Astyanax mexicanus: one gene and its partner. The protein of the gene in region 2 interacts with the protein of the main gene of each other region in a biochemical or structural test. Links are inferred from orthologs where the notes say so. Each region holds a gene or a part of one and is shown on either strand. Other genes may lie near its edges. The genes, in order: somatostatin receptor type 5 and gopc.

The links.
Region 1: the proteins of gopc (region 2) and somatostatin receptor type 5 form a complex in vitro, tested with the Homo sapiens proteins (2 studies listed by BioGRID and IntAct, with this or other methods). The link is inferred for Astyanax mexicanus from reciprocal best matches to the Homo sapiens genes GOPC and SSTR5.

What each region holds. Positions count from the first base shown.
Region 1 is NC_064428.1:35,181,168-35,192,962, reverse strand, and holds the start of somatostatin receptor type 5, read right to left. Parts: upstream 4,707-11,795; 5' UTR 4,547-4,706; coding exon 3,821-4,546; intron 2,967-3,820; coding exon 2,559-2,966; intron 1-2,558.
Region 2 is NC_064408.1:80,411,584-80,423,104, forward strand, and holds the start of gopc (Golgi-associated PDZ and coiled-coil motif-containing protein), read right to left. Parts: upstream 4,618-11,521; 5' UTR 4,373-4,617; coding exon 4,118-4,372; intron 1-4,117. Other genes in the region: nephrocan-like, read left to right, coding at 9,296-9,490, 10,677-11,521.

The DNA of each region.
Region 1 (11,795 bases), on a different chromosome or scaffold from region 2:
AACTTTGGTATCCGGGGTTGTTGCGGCGTTGCTAGGTGGTTACTATACTAAATTCTTACTTTGGTATACCAGGTGGTTGCTTTGGCATTGCTTGGTGGTTACTATACTACAATGGTGTTGCTAGGTGGTTGCTACACTAAATCCTTACTTTGATATGCCAGGTAGTTGTTGTGGCGTTGCTAGGTGGTTGCTACATTAAATGCTTACTTTGGTATGCCAGGTGGTTGCTTTGGCATTGCCAGGTGATTCTATGGATTAATTGACAGTTGCTGTGGTATCTCAGGTGGTTGCTTAGGTTGCCTAGTTGGTACCATCGAACACAATATTTTAACCTTTATGCACTCAGAAATTCTTCTGTTTTCAGTTTAGAAACACAATTATACGGACTGACACTTTAAAGTCAATGTAAGAAACACTATGATTTTTCAAACTTGCCCAGCTTTTTCTGATTTTGAGTTGCATATAAAAATATTGATAATTAACTCTTTAAACACATTAGTTAAAATATATATTTGCATTAAAACTCATATAGAGTGAGTGCTGTTTTCCTGGACTTTGTAATGAATGCTAAGGTTATAACTGGTGTGTGTTTAACTGACCCTCCCCCACTCTATCCACCGCCCCCCCCCCCTCCATAGAGCCAGCATGGAGCCACTCAAACTGCCAGGAAATTTATGCCCGACTGCTCGACGCGTCAAACCAAACTGTCTGCGTTAGCATGACCTTTACCATGTAGAGCTGCATCAGATAAAACACTCCACTCTAAATAAGGGCATGTAGCGGATTATGAGGACATGTACACACACCCCTAACACACACAACAACACACACACACACATAACAACACACACACTTCAACACACACCAACAAACATCATGCACATAGAAAACCCCTCAGGCGTTTGGTCACTGCTGGGACATCTGGTTTTACAACATGGTTTTAAACGAGTCCAGATGGAACATAAATATTATATAGCAGATGACCTGCAGCAATCTATCTACACTATATAACAAACAAGTATTGTCTCTAGTATTGTTTACTCCGGTTAGCATAGTATAGGTTGTTTCTACTGGATTTCTAGATTTGCGTTGCTGTGAGGATATGATTGCATTCGGCCACACGAGTGTGAATGAGGTCAATACTGATGGATGACTCCATGACTAATCCCAAAAGTACTAAAATGCTAAAATGACTGCTATGTGGTTGCTATGATGTTGCTAAGTGGTTGTTATGATGTTGCTAAGTGGATGTTATGGTGCTGTTAGGTAGTTAATATGATATACCTTGTGCTCACAATGGTGTTGCTCAATTGCTAGATGGGTGTAGTATAGTTCAGTACATCAGGTGGTTGTTGTGGTGTTGTTTGGTGGCTGCTACATAGGTATAGTACAGTACAGAACATCAGTTCAGTACATCAGGTGGTTGCTGTGGTGCTACTACCTAGGTACAGTGTAGTACAGTCCATCAGGTGGTTGCTGTGGTGTTGATAGGTGGCTGCTAGATAGGTATAATACAGTACATCAGTTCAGTAGATCAGTTGGTTGCTGTGGTGTTGCTAGGTGGCTGCTAGATAGGTATAGTACAGTACAGTACATCAGTTCAGTACATCAGGTGGTTGCTGTGGTGCTGCTACGTAGGTACAGTATAGTACAGTACATCAGGCAGGTGTTGCTTAGTGTTTGCTAGATGGTCTCTGTGGTGTACCAGAAGGTTTCAATGGTCTACATAGTACAGTATAGTAAAGTACAACAGGTGGATGCTGAGGTGTTGCCAGGTGGGTTACTACACTAAATGCTTACTTTCATATGCCAAGTGTTTGCTGTGGTTTTGCTAGGTGGTTCCTACACTAAATGCTTACTTTGGCATGTGAGGTGGTTGCTGTGGTGTTGCTCAGTGGTTACTACACTAAATGCTTACTTTGGTATGCCAGGTGGTTGCTAGGTGGTTACTACACTAAATGCTTACTTTGATATCCAAGGTGGTTGCTGTGGTGTTGCTAAGTGGTTACTACACTAAATGCTTACTTTGCTTTGTCAGGTGGTTGCTGCGGTGTTGCTAGATGGGTACAGTTTAGTAGAGTTCAACAAGTGGTTGCTGTGGTGTTGCTCCATGGCTGCAATAGTATACCAGGTGATTATGATGCTGCTGCTAGAATGGTGTTGACGGGGGATTCTATGGATTAATTGGCAGTTGCTGTGGTATCTCAGGTGGTTGTTCAGGTTGCCAAGTTGTACTCTTTTCATTATATTGGCACATAAGAATAGTACACAATTGTTATGTCCATTAATGTTTATGGGCAAATAGAATTTTTGTGTAAAAGTTTTGCAACAATAAAAATGATATTAAATCGGATGCTAATTTATGCAATAGAATAAAATCAGTTAATTTCATTCTGGCCCTGATGTGTGCTGCATGTTCATGTATAACATTACACACGTATAACTGTACACTATACACACACACACATATATATACACACACACACACATATATATATGTATATATGCACCCATACACACATTATAAATCATCCTGCGGTCTGTGGATGCTGTGTTACCTGGCTGCTCTGCACGTGTCCGTTAAACTCGTGGTTTCTCGGGGGCAGGAAGGAGTCGTGGGTGGTGATTTTCTCGGTCCGCGGGACGCTGGGGTCTCCGTCCTCCACGCCGTTGGTCTTGCGGAAACACAGGACCTTCCTGAAGCTCTGCTTGAAGTTGTCGCACAGGAAGCCGTAGAGGACGGGGTTGGCGCAGCTGTTGGCGTAGGACAGGATGACGACGGTGAAGTAGATGCCCACCATCAGGCTGTTCTCCGGCAGGATGACGATGACGTTGACGATGTTGATGATGTAGAACGGCAGCCAGCAGAGAACGAACACCACCACGATCACCACCACCATACGCGTCACCTTCCTCTCCGACCGCCGCCGCTTAGTGAATCCGGCACGAGCACCTGCTGACTTCACCTTCAATCAATCAAAAAATGAATGAATCAATCGATTCATCAATTTGTTTAACTTGTACTTAAAAAAGCTAAAAGTTTGTAGAACCTCTAGGTTACCACAATAACCTACAGGCTCCTCCAAGAACTCAAAGCTTTTTACACAGTTTTTTCAGTCTGAATCTATGAAGGAGCGAATAACGATTTCTGTACCTGAATCCAAATATAATAGCCTACATTTCTTGTACGAGCCATATTTCGAGATCTTTAAAGAACCTGATGTTGTACTGAGGTATCGCTAAAGTGCTTACAGGCACTCATCCTGGAGGTTCCTCAATGGACTTCTCATTCTTTGCATTGAAATAATAACTACTTTCGCTCAATGAAAAAGCTTTCATATTCTTTAAAACATCTTTTTCACAATGAAGAACCTCCAAAAAAGCTCTGTTCGAATTTTTTTATGTGAAAAAACAAAACAAAAAAACAAATATGTAGAAAAGTCTCAACTCGGGCAGAGTTAGTTAGCCCTGGTGTGGTGAGGTGATTTCTGCTGCGGCTGCGAGGCTTTTCCAAAATCAGTGGAAAAAACATACTCTTTGCTGGAGTAACTTTCTCTTTTGTCCAGAGAAGGCTTTCTACTAGATTTTCTAATCCCTAGAAGTACTGGATGGAGTACTGGATTTAATTTCAACTCGGTTTTAAAAATGTTACATAAAGTAAATAAGTGAACTGAACTTCAGTCAATCCTTTCTTTTAGTAAACTTTATTTTTCCTAAATCAATCCTTTTTTAAAGTATCTGAAATTAAATTTACTTAAAAAAAGTCAATTTTACTTAAATTTTTTTCAACAGGCATGATGTTAAGAGGTTGGAGACTCACCTTGACGATGATGAGCAGATAGCACATGCAGATCACCAGCAGGGGGGCGAAGAAGCCGAGGATGGCGGTGTAGAGGATGAAGGCCATGGACCAGACGTCCCGCGGCTCCGGCCAGCTCAGGTTGCAGGAGAAGAACGTGTCCTGCACGTCGGAGAAGATGACAACGGGAAGAATGACCACGAACGAGATGGCCCACACCGCGGCACTCACCACTTTGGCCACCCGCGGCCGTCGCCACCTGGTGGAGCGTATGGGGTGCACCACGGCCAGGTAGCGGTCGATGCTCATGACCGTGAGGCAGAAGATGCTGGTGAACTGGTTCAGAGAGTCCGCCGTCATGAGGACGCGGCACAGGAAGGAGCCGAACGGCCAATAGGAGAGCACGTTCTGCGTGGTGAGGAACGGAAGGCCCAGGATGTAGAGTTCGTCGGCCACGGCCAGGTTCAGGATGTAGATGTTGGTGACCGTCTTCATCTTGGCGTAGCGCAGGACCACGTAGATGGCCAGCGTGTTTCCGACGAGTCCCACGATAAAAACGGTCAGCGAGATGATGGCCGTCAGCATGGTGCTGCTGCCCTGGAACGGCATGCTGTAGTCCGAAGAGTTATAGGAAGAGTTTCCCAGGAGAGCCGGCGCCCTCGAAAACGCCGTCGCCTCCAGAATCCCTGACGAGTTCAAGGACCCCAGGAGGGGCCCCTCCCATTCCGATACAGCCCCTGGCTCCATTCCTGATCCAGGGAGGGGAAGAAAGGAGAGGCAGAAGAGGCAGATGGAGAGGAGAAGAAAAAAAAAGAAAGAACGAGGGAGCGACGAAATCGCGCAGAGAAGCGACACGTCAGTGGGTCTCGGACGCCCACGGGGCTGTTGTCAGAGTTTGGATGCTGGGATGCTGTGAAAAGAGAGAAAGATAGAGATAGAAAGAGAGAGAGAGAGAGAGAGTACGACAGAAGGAATCAGAGAGAGGGAGAGAAGGAGAGAGATTGTGAGTTGAGAATGAGAAAACTCCCACTGCACAGATTGTACCTGATTTCAATGCAGTGTTAGTCAGGGTTGTGATTCAGCGGAGGTGGCTCTGTTCTGGCCGCTCTATGCTCTATATCTGATGATCTGAGTGTGTGTGTGTGTGTGTGTGTGTGTGTGTGTGTGTGTGTGTGTGTGTGTCTTTAGCGCACTCATCTCAGAGACCCCATGTGGTGTCCAGAAAGTGGGATGCATATAAAACTATAACTAAGGTGTGGTCGTTGGTCATAAAAAACAACTTTAAAGGAGAACTCCTGTGTTAAATTTACTTTTAGTTTAGTAAATCATGATAAAAAGTTCTTATCTTTGATGAATAGCACACCTCCGTTCTCCCACAGTGTTCAGAGATCCAGAAATTTTAACAGTTTGTCCAACAAACACCCTTCAGACTGGGTGATATGGAGCATAATTTACCCTGATAAATCACTTTTTCCACCGTTATCCAGCTCAAAGTAGCTCCACACCTCCTTACTAGAATCCAGAGAGACCTGACTTTTAAAACGAGGCATTAATAACTAAAAAGTGCACAAGAAGCTTATTAAAAAACACAGTTTACATCCCATAACGCTCTAGCTTTCAGCTCCGAGCGCCGCCATCACTGTACTGATAATGACATAGACATATATATACATATATACACATAGACTACGCATAGCAAAGATGTAGTATTTTGTTATATGTTATATTATGAAAATCGGGTATAAGTTGAGATTTGTAGAGTTGTGATTATTATAATATATTATGTATTAAACACCTTCCTCACTGTAAAAAAAAAAAAAGCACTGGTCACCAGCTGCTATGACAGGAGGCAGGCTATGCAGAGTCTATGTATATATGTATATATATGTCTATGACATTATCAGTACAGTGATGGCGGCGCTCGGAGCTGAAGCTAGTAGCGTTATAGGATGTAAACAGTGAGTTTTAATAAGCTTCTTGTGCAATTTTTTAGTTGTTAATGCCTCGTTTTAAATGTCAGGGCTCTCCAGATTCTAGTAAGGAGGTGTGGAGCTACTTTGAGCTGGATAAGCACAAAATTACTGTATTTCAGGTGTGCTATTCATCAAAGGAAAGAACTTTTTACTATGTTTTACTACAGCAAAAGTCCATTTTACACCAGAGTTCTCCCTTTTTAAGGTTTAATTGAATTAAAGTAGTTCCTTTAAATAACATTAAATAACATTGACAAAAGTATTGGATCATCTGCTTATATCAAGGGTATTAAAATAAGTTTATCCTGCTTTTTTTGTCGGAGTAACTGCCTCTACTGTCCAGAGAAGACTACTTTCTACTAGACTTTAAAGCAGCATTGCAGTGAGGATTTGTATTCTGAATTTATTGTATTTACTGCAGTGTTATATTTTATGGTTTTAAACTTTTGCACTTTATGTTTGTCTATCTTCTTGTTGTTTAACCATGTTGCATCATGGTTACAGAGGAACGTAATTTCGATACACGGTGTTCCTGTTCTCAGATATAATGACAATAAAAGCCTCTTGACTTCATTTGACTTGATTGCATTTATTAACGAGCATCATCGTCGATTAGGTCAGGATGTTACAGGATGCTGATGATCCCACCTCAACCAAACTCATCCCATTCTAAAGTATTGTATGGAGCTCCATCATCATTACAGAGAACACAGTTCCTCCACTGATCCACAGCTCAATACTGGGGGGCTTTATGTTCGTCCATAGCCCTCACCTGACATTAGACATGGTTCCAATATATATATATATATATATATTTGTTTATCTGCTCAAAAGAGTCACTACAGATGCTAGAATTCATTAGAATGAGTGTCCACAAACAGTCCATTATATAGCACCAATATAGTGTGTGTACATAAAAACATATATACACCAACAAAAGCCCAAAGCCAAAACACTTAAGACCAGCTAATATGCCTATGCTGTTTGTCGTACATATATATATATATATATATATATATATATATATATATATCAATGCAACTCCAGACCACTCTGTAACTCGTTTAATCCTTGCACTCAGCACTAGTGGGGGGGTCAGGATGATGGATGACCATCCAAAAAGTATTGCAAAACATGTAGGGTATGTCCAAGCCACATACAAACACAGCTCTGGTCAAAAAATAAGAGACCATCTAAAAATGATGGGTTTCTTTGATTTTACCAAATTAAAAACCTCTGGAATATAATCAAGAGGAAGATGGATGATCCAAAGCCATCAAACCAAACTGAACTGCTTGAATTTTTGCACCAGGAGTAAAGCAGCATAAAGTGTACAAGAAATAAGTTTTCATCCTTTTTTCCAATTTTAGTTTTTTCATCTCTGCCCCTCGCAATCAGAATTTCAAGATTTCTTCCCATTTTCCATTTTTGCATACCATCAGATTTGTGTCACGAGATATAAAAATGGATTCTTGCCTCAATTTTCAGATTTTTCCATGTTTGTATCTTGTAACACACATCTGATGGTGTAATCCAACTTACAAATGCAAAAATTCAAAAATCTGGAAAAAAAATAAATATTTTTTTTCTGATTGTGAGGGGCAGAGATGAAAAAAAATAAAAATTGAAAAATGGATAAAAACTTTTTCTTGTAAACTAAACTACATTTAAAAAATCTGTTTTTACATCCTTTTTTCCATTTTTGCATTTAGCCTCAAACAATTAGAAAAATAAATTAATAAATGTTACTCTGACCCCCCAATTTTTTTATTATCTATTTTTTTCCGCTATTGGCAAACAGAATTTCAAGAGAAAATAAAGTTGAATCTTCTCTTGATTTTTTAGATTTGTGTTAAAAGACAGAAAAATAAACAAATCTGAAATCTGGCAAAGCTTGCAAAATGCAAAAAATGATTAATTCATTCATTGATTAATTAATCATTTTTCCTGACATTCCGATTGTAAGGGGCAGAGAGGAAAAAACTAAAATTGGAAAAATGGATAAAAACATTTCTTGTACACTAAACTACATTAAAATAAATGAAATTATGCGTTTTTACATCCAATTTTCTAATTTTGCATTTAGCCCCAAACGGTCAGAAAATCAAATAGAAAAAAGTTACACTGACCTTTTACATTTTCATTGGCTGACATGAATAATAGATAATTAATAATTTGGATAAAAATCCATTTCTTCTTCACTCTGCTGAAAATTAAACTTCTAAACGCTACACTGAGCAACAACACACAGCAGTAAGAGCTTATTATATTATAATAATGCAGCCTCTGTGTGTGTGTGTGTGTGTGTGTGTGTGTGTGTGTGTGTTATTATTATTGAATATAATAAGTTTTAAAGAGATTTAAAGCTCTTATATCTGCACTAGTGACAGTGCACTAGTATGTAAAGTGTGTGTGAAGTGTGTGTAAAGTGTGTGTGTATGAGATGAGCTGCTACTTGCCTGGTTTGTGATCCTCAGATGTTCTCAGGATTTATAATAATAATAAAATTAAAAATATCTCCTCAGATTAAAAGAATAACACCAAAAACACCAATAGCAGACTGTAGGAACGAGAGTCTCCCCATTATGAGCGCGCGCGGCAGCAGCTCGGAGCGCGAGACCCGGGCAGAGCGCATCTCTGAGCGCGAGCGGAGCGGCGGAGATCTGTAATCCAGACAGTGTGATCTGATCTGATCTGATCTGATCTGCTCCGGGCTGTTCAGAGATCAGACCTGTAGAGCTGCATTCTCCCAGTCACTACTGCTGCTGCTCACTACTGCTGCTCACTACTGCTCCTTCTGCTGCTGCTGCTCAAACTTACTGCAGCTCAGCACTGAGATACACCCCCTACACACACACACACACACACCAGCAGCAGCAGGAGAAAAAAAAACACAAAACACACACTCACACACACACCAGCAGCAGGAGAAAAAAAAAACACAAAACAAACACTCACACACACACCAGCAGCAGGAGAAAAAAAAAACACAAAACACACACACACACACACACACACTGCACAAAACCCACGTTAATGAGCACCTTACAGAGGTTAATTATAAATACACCTGAATGAACCCGACCAGCACGACCAGCAAGGTTGAATGAAGGTCCTCACACAGGGCTTAATGATCACACACTGCCTGCAATCATAAACCCGGGAGCCCATAAATTACCAGCACCAATCAATACCGCTCACTCACAGCTTCTAATCTCATTAATTCATTCATTAAATAAATAAATAAATAAATAAAGCATTAGCAAAAAACGAAACAAAAAAACACTGGTTTATGAAGCTCGTTACAGGAAACATGCTGTTGGATTAGCTTTAAGGATTAGAGTTGCATCCAAACTTTTTTTATTTTTAATAATATTTGTATGTAAAATGCAATTTGTCTGATCTTTAACTACTTTTGGTGTAAAATGGACTTTTAGTTTAGTAAAACATGATTAAAAAGTACTTTCCTTTGATGAATAGCTCACCTCCGCTCTCCTGCAGCTTTCTGAGATCCAAAAATTTAGCCTTACATTTAAATCGAGGCATTAATAACTTAAAAAAAGTGCACAAGAACGTTATTAAAAACCTCTGTTTACATCCCAAAACGCTAAAGCTTTACTGATGAAGACATAGACATATATATAGATAGACTCTGCATAGCCTGCCTTCTAGCGTAGCAGCCAGCGCCAACCCTGCAGACATGTAACACTATTAGACATTATCCTGTTGTAAAATATTTGTCATTGTCAAGTCATGACCACAACTCAACCTGAAATTAATGTCTTTTAATGTTGGTGGCCAGCTGGGAAGAGGCAGGCTATGTGGAGTCTATGTATATATATGTCTACGTCATTATTAGTTAATGCCTCGTTTTAAATGTTATGGCTACAACTACGAAACTAGCATCTATTTTTTTAATTAGTTGAGAAAACTATAATAAAAATACACCATATATTTTGCTAAATCAGCTAAAAAGCGTTAAGTGTTGGGTTAGCATCTACAGAATTGGACTTTTATTGCCAATAAGTGAACAATATTTAAATCTGTCAATTAATTTAATTATGCTGTTAAATTAGAGTGTAAAAAACGCTTTAACTGAATTAGCTGTAGCTAAAGTGTTGGGTTAGCATCAAAACGCTGGGTTGTTGAACTAAATTTGCCCGCTAGTGTTGGATTAGCATCATCATTGGGCGGTATGGTGGATTAGTGATTAGTGGTTAGCACATTTGCCTACCAGTCTTGGGTTCAAATCCCTGTCCTGAGTTTCCATGTTCTCTCTGTATCAGCATATCTCGAATTTATCAAACAGTCCAAAAACATGGAGATCAGGTAAATTGGTAAATTAACTAACTTCTGTTACAGTGTAGTTAATGCAGTGCTCCAGGTGGACGGTGGTTTCCGGTTGAGAGTATGCTGTCTCTGCTCTGTGCTGAGTGTAAATGGTTGTGTGTGTAAAATGTGATTGTAAGAAAGGCACTTTATAAGTGTAATTTCATTGGTCTTTCATAAAACAGCAAAAAGAGTTTATTTAATCATCTTAAAAAAAAAAACTAAATTAGCATCTAAAAAATTTATTTAGCATCTATTCTAAAGTGTAGAATGAAAGAATGCAAAATAGTTATGTTGCCTTTGCCTCTGCACCCTAGTGAACAAAATATATACTTAATTGTACTTAAAACATATTGAGAAATGTATGATGTAAATATACTAACAGATTTATGTACTTACTTAAAATATATTAAAAGTACATTAATATTATGCTTTGAAAGTAAAATTTGATCATATTTTTAAAAAAGTACAATATAGTCTACTTTTCAATAAATAGACTACTATGAAGTGCACTTTTAGTTTAATGTAATTCAATGTAATTCTAAAATATATATTTACAAATATACTTTTGTACACTTTTAGCAAAGTGTGTTAAAAACAACTACAGTTACAGTAGTTCACTTAAAGTACAATGTATCATGTAACTTTTTAGAAAGTAAATTAAATTACTACTACTAATTAAAAAAATGTAAAATTGTAACACACTAAAACTTGTAGTACATTATATTAAAATATATTTTTATACCCAATAAAGTAAACTAGACTAGAAGTGTGCTTCTTACAAAAGACAGGAACAAGAAGCATAGTTGTATATTTGTACTCAAATGTAAATATAGATCACATATATTTAACATATATCAATTCTTAGTGCATTTCTAATATATCTGGTGTATAATAAATAGTGATACAGTTGTGCTACTCATTATTAAATATATTATAAAATATATAATTATATTATAATTATATATTATAAATATATATGTATGTTTAAATGTTACTTAAGTAAATTTAAAATAGTTCAATTTCAGTACAGTTAAGTAGACTTTTTAAGTAATTTAAGTAAGAATGTTGTACTATTTTTATACTGTAATTAAAGTATAATAAGTATTTTAAAAAGTTGTTCCATTTTAGCGCTCTTTAAATATACTGATTAATAATAATGAGGCTACAAGAACACTTTAGTGCACTATAGTATAGAAATGCTTAGTATAATTTAATCTATTTTTTTACACTAGAGCACTACAGTTTCTTCAGCTGTTTCACTCAGTAGTGCAGAGGTGACACGTGCTGGATTATTATCACTATTATTACTGGTGTTAGTTAGTTCAGAACAGTTGCTCACGCGCTCACTGTGAACGCCGAGTGTGTGACGCACGAGCAGCTTTCAGAAATGAGATGAAGAGTAGAGGTATGAAGAAGAATGAGAGCATGCTTCTAGATTACGCAAGACACACGCAGTATTTCACACAGATAGTGTGTGTGTGTGTATGTGTGTGTGAGAGCAGTAGGGTGTGAAATCATCAGGGTAAGTCTGAAGTTGTTAGAGAAGCTCCAGACAGACAGCAGGACCGCTGGACTGCCTCTGATTTGTTTGTTTAGACAGTAAGAGTTTCCTCTTCGTTCCAGATCCAGATTCTTTGATCTGACGGTGTGAACAGGATCAGAGTGAACAACTCTCTGATTTATCTCATCAT
Region 2 (11,521 bases):
ACAACCCACCTGGATCTGTGTGTAAAATGCAAAAAAAAATAATGAAAATAATTACAAGTAGGGCTGCAAAAAAAACTGTTAGTTTTTTTCAATTAATTACCATTTGAACCAGCGATACACTTTAGGTCACTATCATGTGATGGAGGTTAACATAGCAGCTCTGCTCCCTTGATCTGCACTTTGTCACCTGCTTTTTTTTTTTTTTTAAATCACTGTTGCCACCTCTTCCATGCCACTGTTGGCGTCATCACTGTGGTGCTTACTCATAAGAAGCTTGAACAGCTTGTAAAACACGCAATATAAATAACATTGAATTGAATCTATGTACTTTACAGCGTAGCACCACTCCAGAAATGTGAATACTGTGATTGCGTTCACAGGTAAACTGTAACGCAACACAGAAACACCAACATGCAACCCTGTACAGTGCCACATGGCATTTGTGTAGACTATACACCACAGACCCTGCCTTGAGAAAGTAAACAGGCTTGTTTGTTTCAGTAACTGTTTGAGAGAGTAAGGCAAATAGTCCACTTCTGGTGCATAACACAAAATTGAGAAACTGTTGCTTGTTTGACTTGAAGTGAATTTGATGATATTTTTATGGTTTATGGTCAATAGAATTGTGCTGCAAATTACAATATGTTGCTAGAGAATGGTTTTGTAGTAAAAGGAACTGGTAATATATTGTTCTATTTAGGTTATAATTTTAGCTTTAAGATGTATACACCTGAAATAAAAAGATTGAGAAGAAAAAAACCTATGTCTCTTATTATTGTAACTTTCCATTTATTCATTCATTCATTCATTCAAAAAAAGTATTTTTAGGTGATAAATGTAGATTAATCACTGAGCATGTAATTAATTAAATATTTTTTTTTATCATTTGACAGCATTGATACTCATCAAGCAAACATGCTAGATCATCATTGTAGACTCACAGATAAGGTAGTATTAGTGTTTTAATCATACATTCATGACAGTCCTGCAAAACAGCATGCATTAAGATAAAGAAGCTTTTAAGAGATTTATAAAGTGGTAGACACACGAGAGATTAGTCCAAGCGTTCTCCTGAGAATGCTGAAGCAGGAGGAACACATGAGGCCAACAGGTCAGATCTAATGGACACAAGACAGCTGAACACTGGTAGAGCTGACCTACAGCAACCAACACTCCACACTAAAGCTGAACAACATGGGAAAAAAATCCCTTACTTTGACTTAAGGGACATTCTACTTTAACAACAACTGTTTTTTTAGAATCATCATCCTAAATAGCATTAGGTCTGGTTTCTCCAGATTTTGTTCACAATGTGGATGGGGGTCACCAATCTTATCCACAAAGCAAGGGCAGGTTTAGCAGAGATTTTCATTTCTAACAAGCAGAAGTGGATCCTGTTATTCTTGTTTTATTAGTTGGTCCAAGCTGTCAATTATTCACTCTGGTCTGAGTGAAAACCTGCAGCCATACATGCCCTTTGTGGACAAGACTGGTAAACCCTGTTTTTGGTGGAACAAAACCGTGATGTTCTAGATACAACAAAAAGTACATAAGGACAGGACTAAAACTTTACTTGACCACAATCAGTGGAGATGTTCAAATTAATAACACTCTAAAACCATTAAATAAAGCATGAGTTCACAGTGTAGCAACTTAAATAGATCTTATAAATCCAGAACTTCAATGTGTCCACAATAACAATTTATGTGACACCAAAACCATACCAGTGAACCAATAGTGTCACCTGATTAAAGACTGGCCTTTATAAATCACAATAAATCTAAATTAATTTCCATTTTATTTAATTTTTACATTGGTTTTCATTTAATTATTTTAATTAATCGTTTTTAAAATTATTTTATTTTATGTTTTAATGTATTTTTGCATGACAAGTATAAGCTGACTTTTTATGAATTCTTTAATTCACATCATTTGGTATGATCACAACATGCAATAAAACTTAATTTGTTTGAGAGTAGATGTACACAATAAAAGCCCTACTAACAATGGCCAATATTTCAAAAATTACCAAAAATATTTATTTCCAACCAACTTCATGGAGGAAAGCTAAAGGATATCTGGTGATATCATGTTAGAAATACAGGACTGCACTTTTTCATATAAATTGCAAAATATACACATTTTTTTTTTTAATCAACCTAAAGACAGTAATTACCAGCTAATGACAATCCAATGGAAAAGCCTCAAGAGGAAAATAGTAGTGTTGACTCCAAAAGGTGCTTTGCATAGTTTTGTCTTCTTATCATTTACAAACACACACACACACTATAGACAGAGGACACAATAAACTGATCAGACCTGGCTGAGCAGGTTCTGCAGGTCTATTTCTCTAAACATGTATCTCTTTTGTACTAAAATAATAAACCTAAAGAGAGCATTGGCTGGTACACTCCAACACTATTGAGTTCTGATGTTCTCCAGCTCTGTCTGAGCTTTACTCACATTTAAGATGAGTAAGCATCTCTCTTTTACAATGGATCAGGATTTCAAATGTCAGGAATGCAAACCCCCTTACGCAAAACAGGCTCAGCTCAGCAGGAAGGGCAGGTGCATCACGTTTATTGTTAAACTGTAATACCTTTCCTTTTAAATGCCATTTTTAGAGATATATTAGACTGATAATAGCAGTACCTATTTCAATACAAGATTATGATATCTTTTCACACCTATGATGAACTGCACTGAATGTCACTTAAAAAATGTAAAAGGGCAATTGCAGAACGTTAAATATCAGAAATAACTTTCAGCAAACTATTTTAATGAGCGGTAATAAAACTGACATTGTGTAGAATCTGATGGTACTATTTATTGTATAATTCACAGATCAATTAATCATAGGCAGCAAAATCAGCACAAAACCATGTTAATTGCCAACATGGCTAGGATGAGATTCTAATTGAACTGCAGCATTTGATTTTTGTCAGCTGCTAGAGGACTAGGATTAAGGTTAGACTCTTTTTATAATTATTTATAAAAAAGAACAAGAAAATATATTGGCACACAACAAAATGTAACTAAAGCCTAACGTGAACTGAACTACAGGGCATTGGCTGCTGAATTATAAATGCCTGCATGAAGATCAAGAAACAATCTCAGTGCTAAACTTGGAGCAGTATTGATTGGGTCCATGAAATAGAAAAGCACCACCCAGTATCTACAAGAAGACTTCCAAGCATCCTACAGTAAGGAATGGTAAGAAATGGCAGTTCAGGTGAACTGTGGTAGTCAAAATGTGATCTGGAAAAAACAAAACACTGAATTGCTACAGTTAAAACACCCTCAGTATAAAGACAAAACTGATATTAGATATAAAAACACTTATCTGCAACAAACAGAGCTTGTGAACTGTATTTTCTGTCAAAGGGGTTGTAACAAAGCTTTTACCGGGTAAAGTGCATAAACCTTTGCCCAGGCCAAAATGGTTATTCTGATTTGCATATAATATATTTCGGCATAAAAAAGCAGTTGTACATTTGTAGAAAATATTGGCAGTATTAGCCACACATTCTGTGCTTTCTATTTATTAAAATAAAATACATTGATATATATATATATATAAAGTGTCATTTGTTTAGAGATGACCAAATGTTTTGTAGACAGAAATAAGAAGCTTAATCCAGTATTTATACGAATATATTCACTCATTATTAGTTGCTATTTTAATAGTTAGGAATTTTTATATACACAAGAATTCTTAATTGGAAGAAATAATTTACAGCATTTTTATGACATTGAAAAATTTTGGAGAACTGCTAAGGTCAAGATGAATTCTGGAAACAGATGTACATTAGAATTTGGTGACAATACAGTATAACCTACATACTCTGTGCTTATTAATTCCCAATAAGAAATGAATAAAGTGTGTAATTTGTAAAGTAATTTGGCGAGAGTTCCCAAACTTCCACTACTGTTCCACAGAACAGTAGTTTCCTCACACACTGCTGCTGTGTGGTGGGTTAGCTAGGATAGCTAGCTAGCTTCCTGTGACTCTGAACAGTTTAATGAATATTTCACAGTCTGTGTGAGTGTTAAAGCTACAGTGGAGTGGTGGTGTAGGCCCGGTGGTGTGTTGTGTTTTAATAATAACGCTAGCTACCTCCAGTTTGTGGTTGAGCTGGAAGACGGTCTGCGCTTTGTGGCAGAGCTGCGCGAAGCAGGAGCTGAGGCTGGTCATCTTCTGGCGGCCTTCATAGGTGATGTCGGCCTGGTCCGGGTCGATCTCGCCCAGCAGCAGATCCACGTCCACGAACGCCTTGTCGAACTCCTTCTCCAGAACCTCCAGCCAGCGGAACATCGACATGCCCGAGGCCGGAGCTCCGAGCGCGGCTCCCTGCGCGGCGCCCGCCGACATCCCCGCCCTGTAGACCGTCTAACACCGAGCGGATACCCGAGCACCCCCACAACAACACCACCAGCAGCACTGCAGAGCCTCGGTTCAGCGACCCCGCAGCCCTCAGTCTGTACAGCCCGGCTCTCTGAGTCCCTTAAGCTCAGTCTATCACAGTCAGAGGAGAAGGAGGAAGAACTTCAGCGGAGGAGTAAATACCGCTGATCCTCCTCCTCTAAACACAGCAGGATGTCCGTTTTCAGCAGGGATCGATTACACTGGTCTGCCACACGATTAGGCCTCCAGAGAGAGAGAGCGAGAGCAACAGATCACCGATATGATCGATCGATCTGTTTCAGGAACACTTCACTCAGTCCGCTGATCTCACACAATATTTTTACCAGCTTTTTTATTATTAATATTGAGCTTTTGTACTTTAAATGCTGCTCATACACTACACGACTTAAAAAAAGACTCTAAAAATACTTTTCTTATACTAAGGTCTGACACTCCCTCACGTCTAAAGACAAGTCACAGACTTTTTACTAACATATTTTGCTAAGACTGAGGATCACTAACTGTAAGACTGCAGCTAGATTCTTTCTGAGAATATTTCCCATCAAGCTTCTGGTGGAGGTTACATACAAGACATGTTACATATTAAGTTAAAAATAATGTGTAAATCAATACTGTGATTTATCAGAGACTCACATCAACAGTTTATTTTTCGGCCACACTTATTTCTTGATATTTTTAATAGAATACATTTTGTGTTCAACTCTTCTTATAAGCATACAACCTTGTAAAGCAATCAATCACAGTTTCACTGATATACATTTGCCTTTGTTTTAGATTAATGCAATAAACAACATCATTCTTGCAAAATGTGTATTTATTAAACTTGTTTGTATCAAAAATAACACTGCACAATAAGACACAATCCTGACTCTGGAAATTTTTCTGCAACAGTGAAATTGCTTGAAAATCGTTATGTCTAAGGTCGGCATAATACAATACAACAAAGTTAAACAGAAACAGCAATAGGCTAATTTCAAGATTCATATATCCAACAACCATACCTGTCAAGTTTTAGAAAAATAAGGGATATTTTCCTCTGTCCGCTTAAAGTCGTCCCACCAGCCCAACGAAGGTTCAGTATCTCTTACATTTTAAAGACAGGTTTACAAAAAATCTAAAATAACCACAAGTGAACCACTTACACACTACAATTAGATTATCAGAATCTGAAATGTTGTGGACATTCCTACATATATCATTCTTTTAATACAGCCAAATTAAAAATCATTTTCAAGATATTAAGATTAAGATTAAGATTTCATGTCTTTTTGCCATACATGCACTCTTTTATATTATATTTTTTTTATTTATTTAATAGATTTAAAATTTAACAAAGGGGGCACAAATTCTGCAAAATGACTGTAGGTGACCTAAAAATAGTATTATGAGCTTTTACTAAAAGGACATGGACCAGATATATTCCATCAGTAAAAATTAGTCCTAAGTGGCCTACACAATTAATCATTTTTAATTAATACTTCTTCCTTTTGATCACTCCACCCCTGATCAGTTCAGTTCATTTCGGTCACAAGCTGTAATTTTTTTTTTAATTTTAAAATGTTTAATCTGTGTGTTTTATTTCGGAGACGAGTCTTTTTAAGCAGCTATCAGAAAAATCTCATCACAGTTTACATGATTAGCCTACCGTTACATTTTTTTAAGAAAAATCGCTGTATATCCAGATCTGTTTTAACATCAGCAGCTCCGACTAGCTGCCTGAACTCACAGCGACGGGGGGCTTCCCCACACTGACCCTCCTTTGCAAGCTGATTGGCTGTTTCTCCTGAAAGGCGGGACTTTCTCCTTGAACCGGCTCCACGATTGGTTAAGAGACAAAGAGCGGTCAGTGCCCTGTCTCCTCAATAATATATATTTTTTAATTTTAATATAATACGGGAAATTTACGGAAAAATACTAATACGGGAGGACGGCGGGAAAGAGGAGTAAAATACGGTAGTTTCCCGGCCAAAACGGGAGACTTGACAGGTATGCCAACAACATAAAAAATAAAAATATAATAAAATAAAAAAGCAAACAAACAACAAAACCAACAAAAAAAAGCTAAAACTGAAAAGCTTCAAAGTATGAATAGATTTTTGAAATTTCTTATTTTTCGAAAATGTTTAATTTTATGGGCCCCATGTGGGTTTATGATGGGCTAAATGATGGGCCCCAACAAGTTTAACCATTTAGGACCCAACACATTTTGTCCTTAGTCTCTATGCGGGCCCCTTGAGCAGCATATGGGTTAATGACGGGTTTAAGATGGGTACAGTGTGGAACCCTAATGGGTAGCATATGTGGGGTTTTTATGGGCCTTTAATTTAGAACCAAAGTGGGTTTTACATGGGTAAAATATGGGCACAGGTTGGGCCATTAATGGGCAAATAGAGCTGAGGACACCTGGGGCCATTATGTGCACTGTATAATGGGCCCCATCAGGGTAACCCATTATAAAGCACTCTTTTTATTGTACTCGGTCTCCATGAGGGCCCCTTATGCAGCAGCCCATTTAGGTAATGAGTTGGGTTTTAAAGTAAAATAAAGGGTCATTAAAAACATACAATACAGCTTTATTGTATTACATTAAATTGTATATAGCTTTACTATCTAACCTTCTCTTCAAATCTAAAAGAAGATCATTCCAAAAAAAAAAACACAATACAAAAAACATGGATTCAAAGAGCAGATAGTAGGACAATTCTGAAGACCCTGAAGATTGTATTCCTTAGTAATACTTTAGATTTACCTACTGAAGGATTCTTAATTATGGCACTGCATTTATTAAATAATAAGTAAAGACTAGTTTTAGATATGTACTTAAAACCAGAACCATCATCTTAGGCTTTAAAGCATTTAAGCAAAAAAGTATTAATATTTAATATTTGTGTACATATACAATTATATGTAGGTTTATCCACCGCAGATTTTTGATCTTCTCATAGGTGAACAGTACGTGAACGATTAATTGCTTTACAAAAGCTGTGAAGTGAAAAATTGCACATTTATTAAAATATTTTACCTATGTTATTTTTGTAAGATACACAGAATATTCCAAAAAAAGACTAAACAAATACATTTATAACAAACAATGAGACTTCCTTTGAAAAGTTAACCAAAATTAATAATAAAAAACAAAATACAGTTTTGTACTGCAAAGATTTTCATGATTTTAAGATTTTTCTGTGCAGACAGTATCCTTCTTATAGCAGATATAAGAAGTCATCACAGTAAACAATATTTGTAGCAGGTAAGAGATTTTCAGTTCTTCATTGATGGGTGTTTGCTCATTCTTCCTTGTTGTTAAAAGCTTCTAGTTTTGGGAGATTCAGGGGCTGTCTTACATGAACTGCTTTTCTGACACCTGTTTACAGATGTTTGTTGAATTTTAAGTGCTGTGAGAGCCTTTGTGGATTTTGAGATGTGTTTAGAATCATGTTGTAAAAGTAATTCTCTTTTTCTCAACAGCTTTTGTTTTTACAGAAGGTGTGATTAATTCCAGATTTTAATTTCAATTGTTAATTATATCCATTTTCCCAGTCAAATTATATTACCAGTCAAATGCTCCCTGTTACACTGGCTGCATCACAAGCCCAAAACTTGATTGATCCACCCCATGGTTAACAGATAAAAATGGCTTTATACCACTGCATCATTTAGTTTTTACTTTAGCTTACTTAACTTAAACATACTTTAAATTGTGGCCACAAATAGTCATAGTCATAGTTTCTTTATTTATCTCCCAAGGAGAAATTTTGCTTGGATTGAGGGCATACTGCATTACAACACAAAACAGACAAACATACAAACAAAAATATATGTGTATAGTGAAGCAATACCCATTTGGTGAGTGAAACCAATTCCAGAGAAACACATTTTAGGAGTACCCCACACCCCCCATGTCCTTGGTGGCAATAAAGGGGCATTTCACCTTGACCTGATGTTTATACTGTTCTGTCCTTGTGGTCTGATAAGAGTAAATGAGTTTTTTTTTTTGGTGGGAGGTGTCAGATCTGCTCACCCATATAAATGGTGTGCACTTAATGTTTAAATGTTTGTAATAAACAGTGTTGATAAGGAGAGTTCCCAGACCCCAATTTTGCAGAAACAACCATTACATTTCTGTGAAGGCTTTGCACTGGATGTTGGAACGTTTGACAGTATTTACAAATTCAATTTATTAAAATAGTTATGTGAGCTGTTTTGGATCTCAACTAACAGATAAACAGAGAATCATCAAATGAGCCTGTGCTCTTCTGTGCATTTATCTAACCCTATCATTTCTATCTTTTTAATAACTGTACTCACCATCTGCACATACCGATCACTTTATTAACTTTATTACTTTATTAACTTTATTACCTCCTGGCAAAACAGGAATTAAAAGATAAATATACTGTAGTCTATGACTAGACTTAATGCATGTCTGTGAAATGGCCCCTATATCTCTCATTATTTATTATTGAATTAGGTTTGATATGGGTTGAAATAATCAACCCATAAAGTGTCCTCTGTGACAGACACACCAGCAACATCCATCTCCAAAAAAAAACAGAGTACTCAAAGAGAGGAACGAAGAGACAAAGTATCTGCTAAAAGTATTTAAGCAGAGGAAACTGCATTTGTTGTCTAGAATGGGCTGTAAACAGGTTATCACCAAGGTTCTCACATCTGCGGACAGACAGGACAATCTGTGACTGCTTTGCCAGTTCCTTGTCAGTGTTTTCCAACACAGATAGTGATCTAGGCCATTGTTCCCAATAAAGCGGAGAAGGCCTACACTCAGCAGAGCCCCAGTCGCTGAGCTATTTAAGCCACAGGTCTTCAAAATGCTGCTTCAGCACCAAGGCAGCCCCGGTCATCTACACAATGCGGACACTTCACATTCTCATTTACACCCTGCTCTTCCCTCTCCTCTCGCTCTGCAGCCAAGTGTGTCCAGAGAAATGCGTCTGTGAACAAACCGGATCAGTGCAGTGTTTCAGGGTACAGTCCATGCCCTCAGGCATCCCGAGAGATGTGAGAAAACTTAACCTGGGATACAACCACATTAAGGAGATCAAGGTAACTGTTCTTTTTTACTCCAGATCCATCTCATTTGCACCTGTTTAGCAACATTCTCTTGTTTTCTGTATTACTTATTTGGAGTGTTTTAAATAAGGCATACTCCACAATGATTCACATCTGGCACAAATTTTTTTCTCTCTACATTTTATTCAGTATTATATAAACTGTTATGTAGGATTAATTTTGAGTTTTTCATTTTTAATTTTAATGATAAGTATGTTTGCGTTTTGTTGGTTTAGTAAATCTACCTTTTGAAATTAAGCTTGTAGTGTACAATATGTTTTATATGTTTCCTCAGATTTAGAAAATATTTTCTGTTCCAAATTGTGTTTGTTTAAAAAAAATTATTGTATTATTGGCATTGTGATGTCATTGTAATATTGTCCTACTGACCCATGCACCCAATTAATAAATAAACCAGATATTTGAAGATTGCTCTCATATTATACATTTAAGTCAATTATAACTGTTTATTATAATTGATATATTCAGATACTTTTATCTTTTAGGTTCTAGTTTTGTCTAATTAAAAATAGCTTTATTCTTAGTTTGGTAAACCAGCATTATAGGTTTTCCACACCCATATCTACATGGTGTACATCATATTTTGAAAGCAGTTAACAATTAGTTAGGGCAGTTAATGCATAAGATGTATCACTATCAATAACTGCGTAATAAAGCAATCGTTTAATGCAGTGTTTTTCAAGCTGAAAGCTGCAGTGTTACTTCTGGGAGCTGTTGTTCCAATTAATTTGAATGTCAGTTTTTTTGCAAAAAGAAAAACATTGAATTTTGGATGGTGTTGTTGGAGGTTTTTACATTTATATTAGTGCTGTTCTTCATGAGGTTTTTGAGCAATTTTGAGCATATTACGTAATTTAATGGACTACATTGATTGTTATGCTGTACTTATTTTGATTTGATAATTAAATACTTGTTGTTGCTGTGAAATGTTAATGAAATGAGTAAATAGAGCCCACACTGTGTGTGTTTTTTTTTTGTGCTGTCCCTCATCCAGCACACCTGATGCAACTAATTAATTAACAAATATCCAATAACCTGATCTACATCAGGTGTGTAAGGATAAGCAGGACCCAAACCTATTGAAACAAATGTGATTCCTGACTTTGTGTTATACTGGGCTATTTTAAAGAGCCTTTTTTCTTTTTTCCTTTTCTCTTAGAATCGAGATTTGTCGGGTTTGCAAAGTCTTGAAGAGATCATCCTGTCTTCCTGTGGAGTGGAGCAGCTAGAGGGTAATGTTTTTAGGGCCCAGAGGCTTTTAAAAACTCTGGATCTCCAAAAGAACAAACTGAGGAACATTCCTCGTGGCCTGCCCTCCAGCCTGGAGAGCCTTCACCTGGGTCACAACAGGATCCAGACATTGCAGGAGTCCACCTTGCAGGGTCTAAAGAAACTCCGCCTCCTGAACCTCCAGAATAACCTCATCACTACTTTACGCTCCAGTACTTTCTTAGCTCTCACTGTGCTGGAGGAACTATATCTGGAGGGTAATAAACTCGAGGCCGTGCAAGGTGCCCTCAGGTTGCCAATGCTGACTCAGTTAAGCTTAGCAAACAACAAAATCCATTCACTGCCTTCAGCTTTCTTCTCATCACTGCAGCTTCTTAAAACATTAGACCTGTCCTCTAACCTTTTGACTAAGGTGCCTCATGACCTTCCTCAAGCTCTGCTTAACCTCAGCTTGGACAGGAACCAATTAAGAAGTTTAAAAAGTCGTGATTTGGCTCAGTTGCGTGATCTGGTTACGCTGACTGCCTGCTACAACAGGCTGGTGTCGGTGGATGGAGGCCTTCGCCTGCCCAGTCTGAGTGTGCTGGAGCTGGTAGGAAACCAGCTGCGTGTGCTGCCCGGGCGGCTATCAGCCAAACTGGAGAAGCTTGATTGTGGGCAGAATCACATCCAGGAAGTGAGCCATCAGCAGCTATCTGGACTGAAGCAACTGCGCCATCTTTTTCTGGAGAACAACACCATCCGACACTTTGAGAGCAATGCTCTGAGGCACTG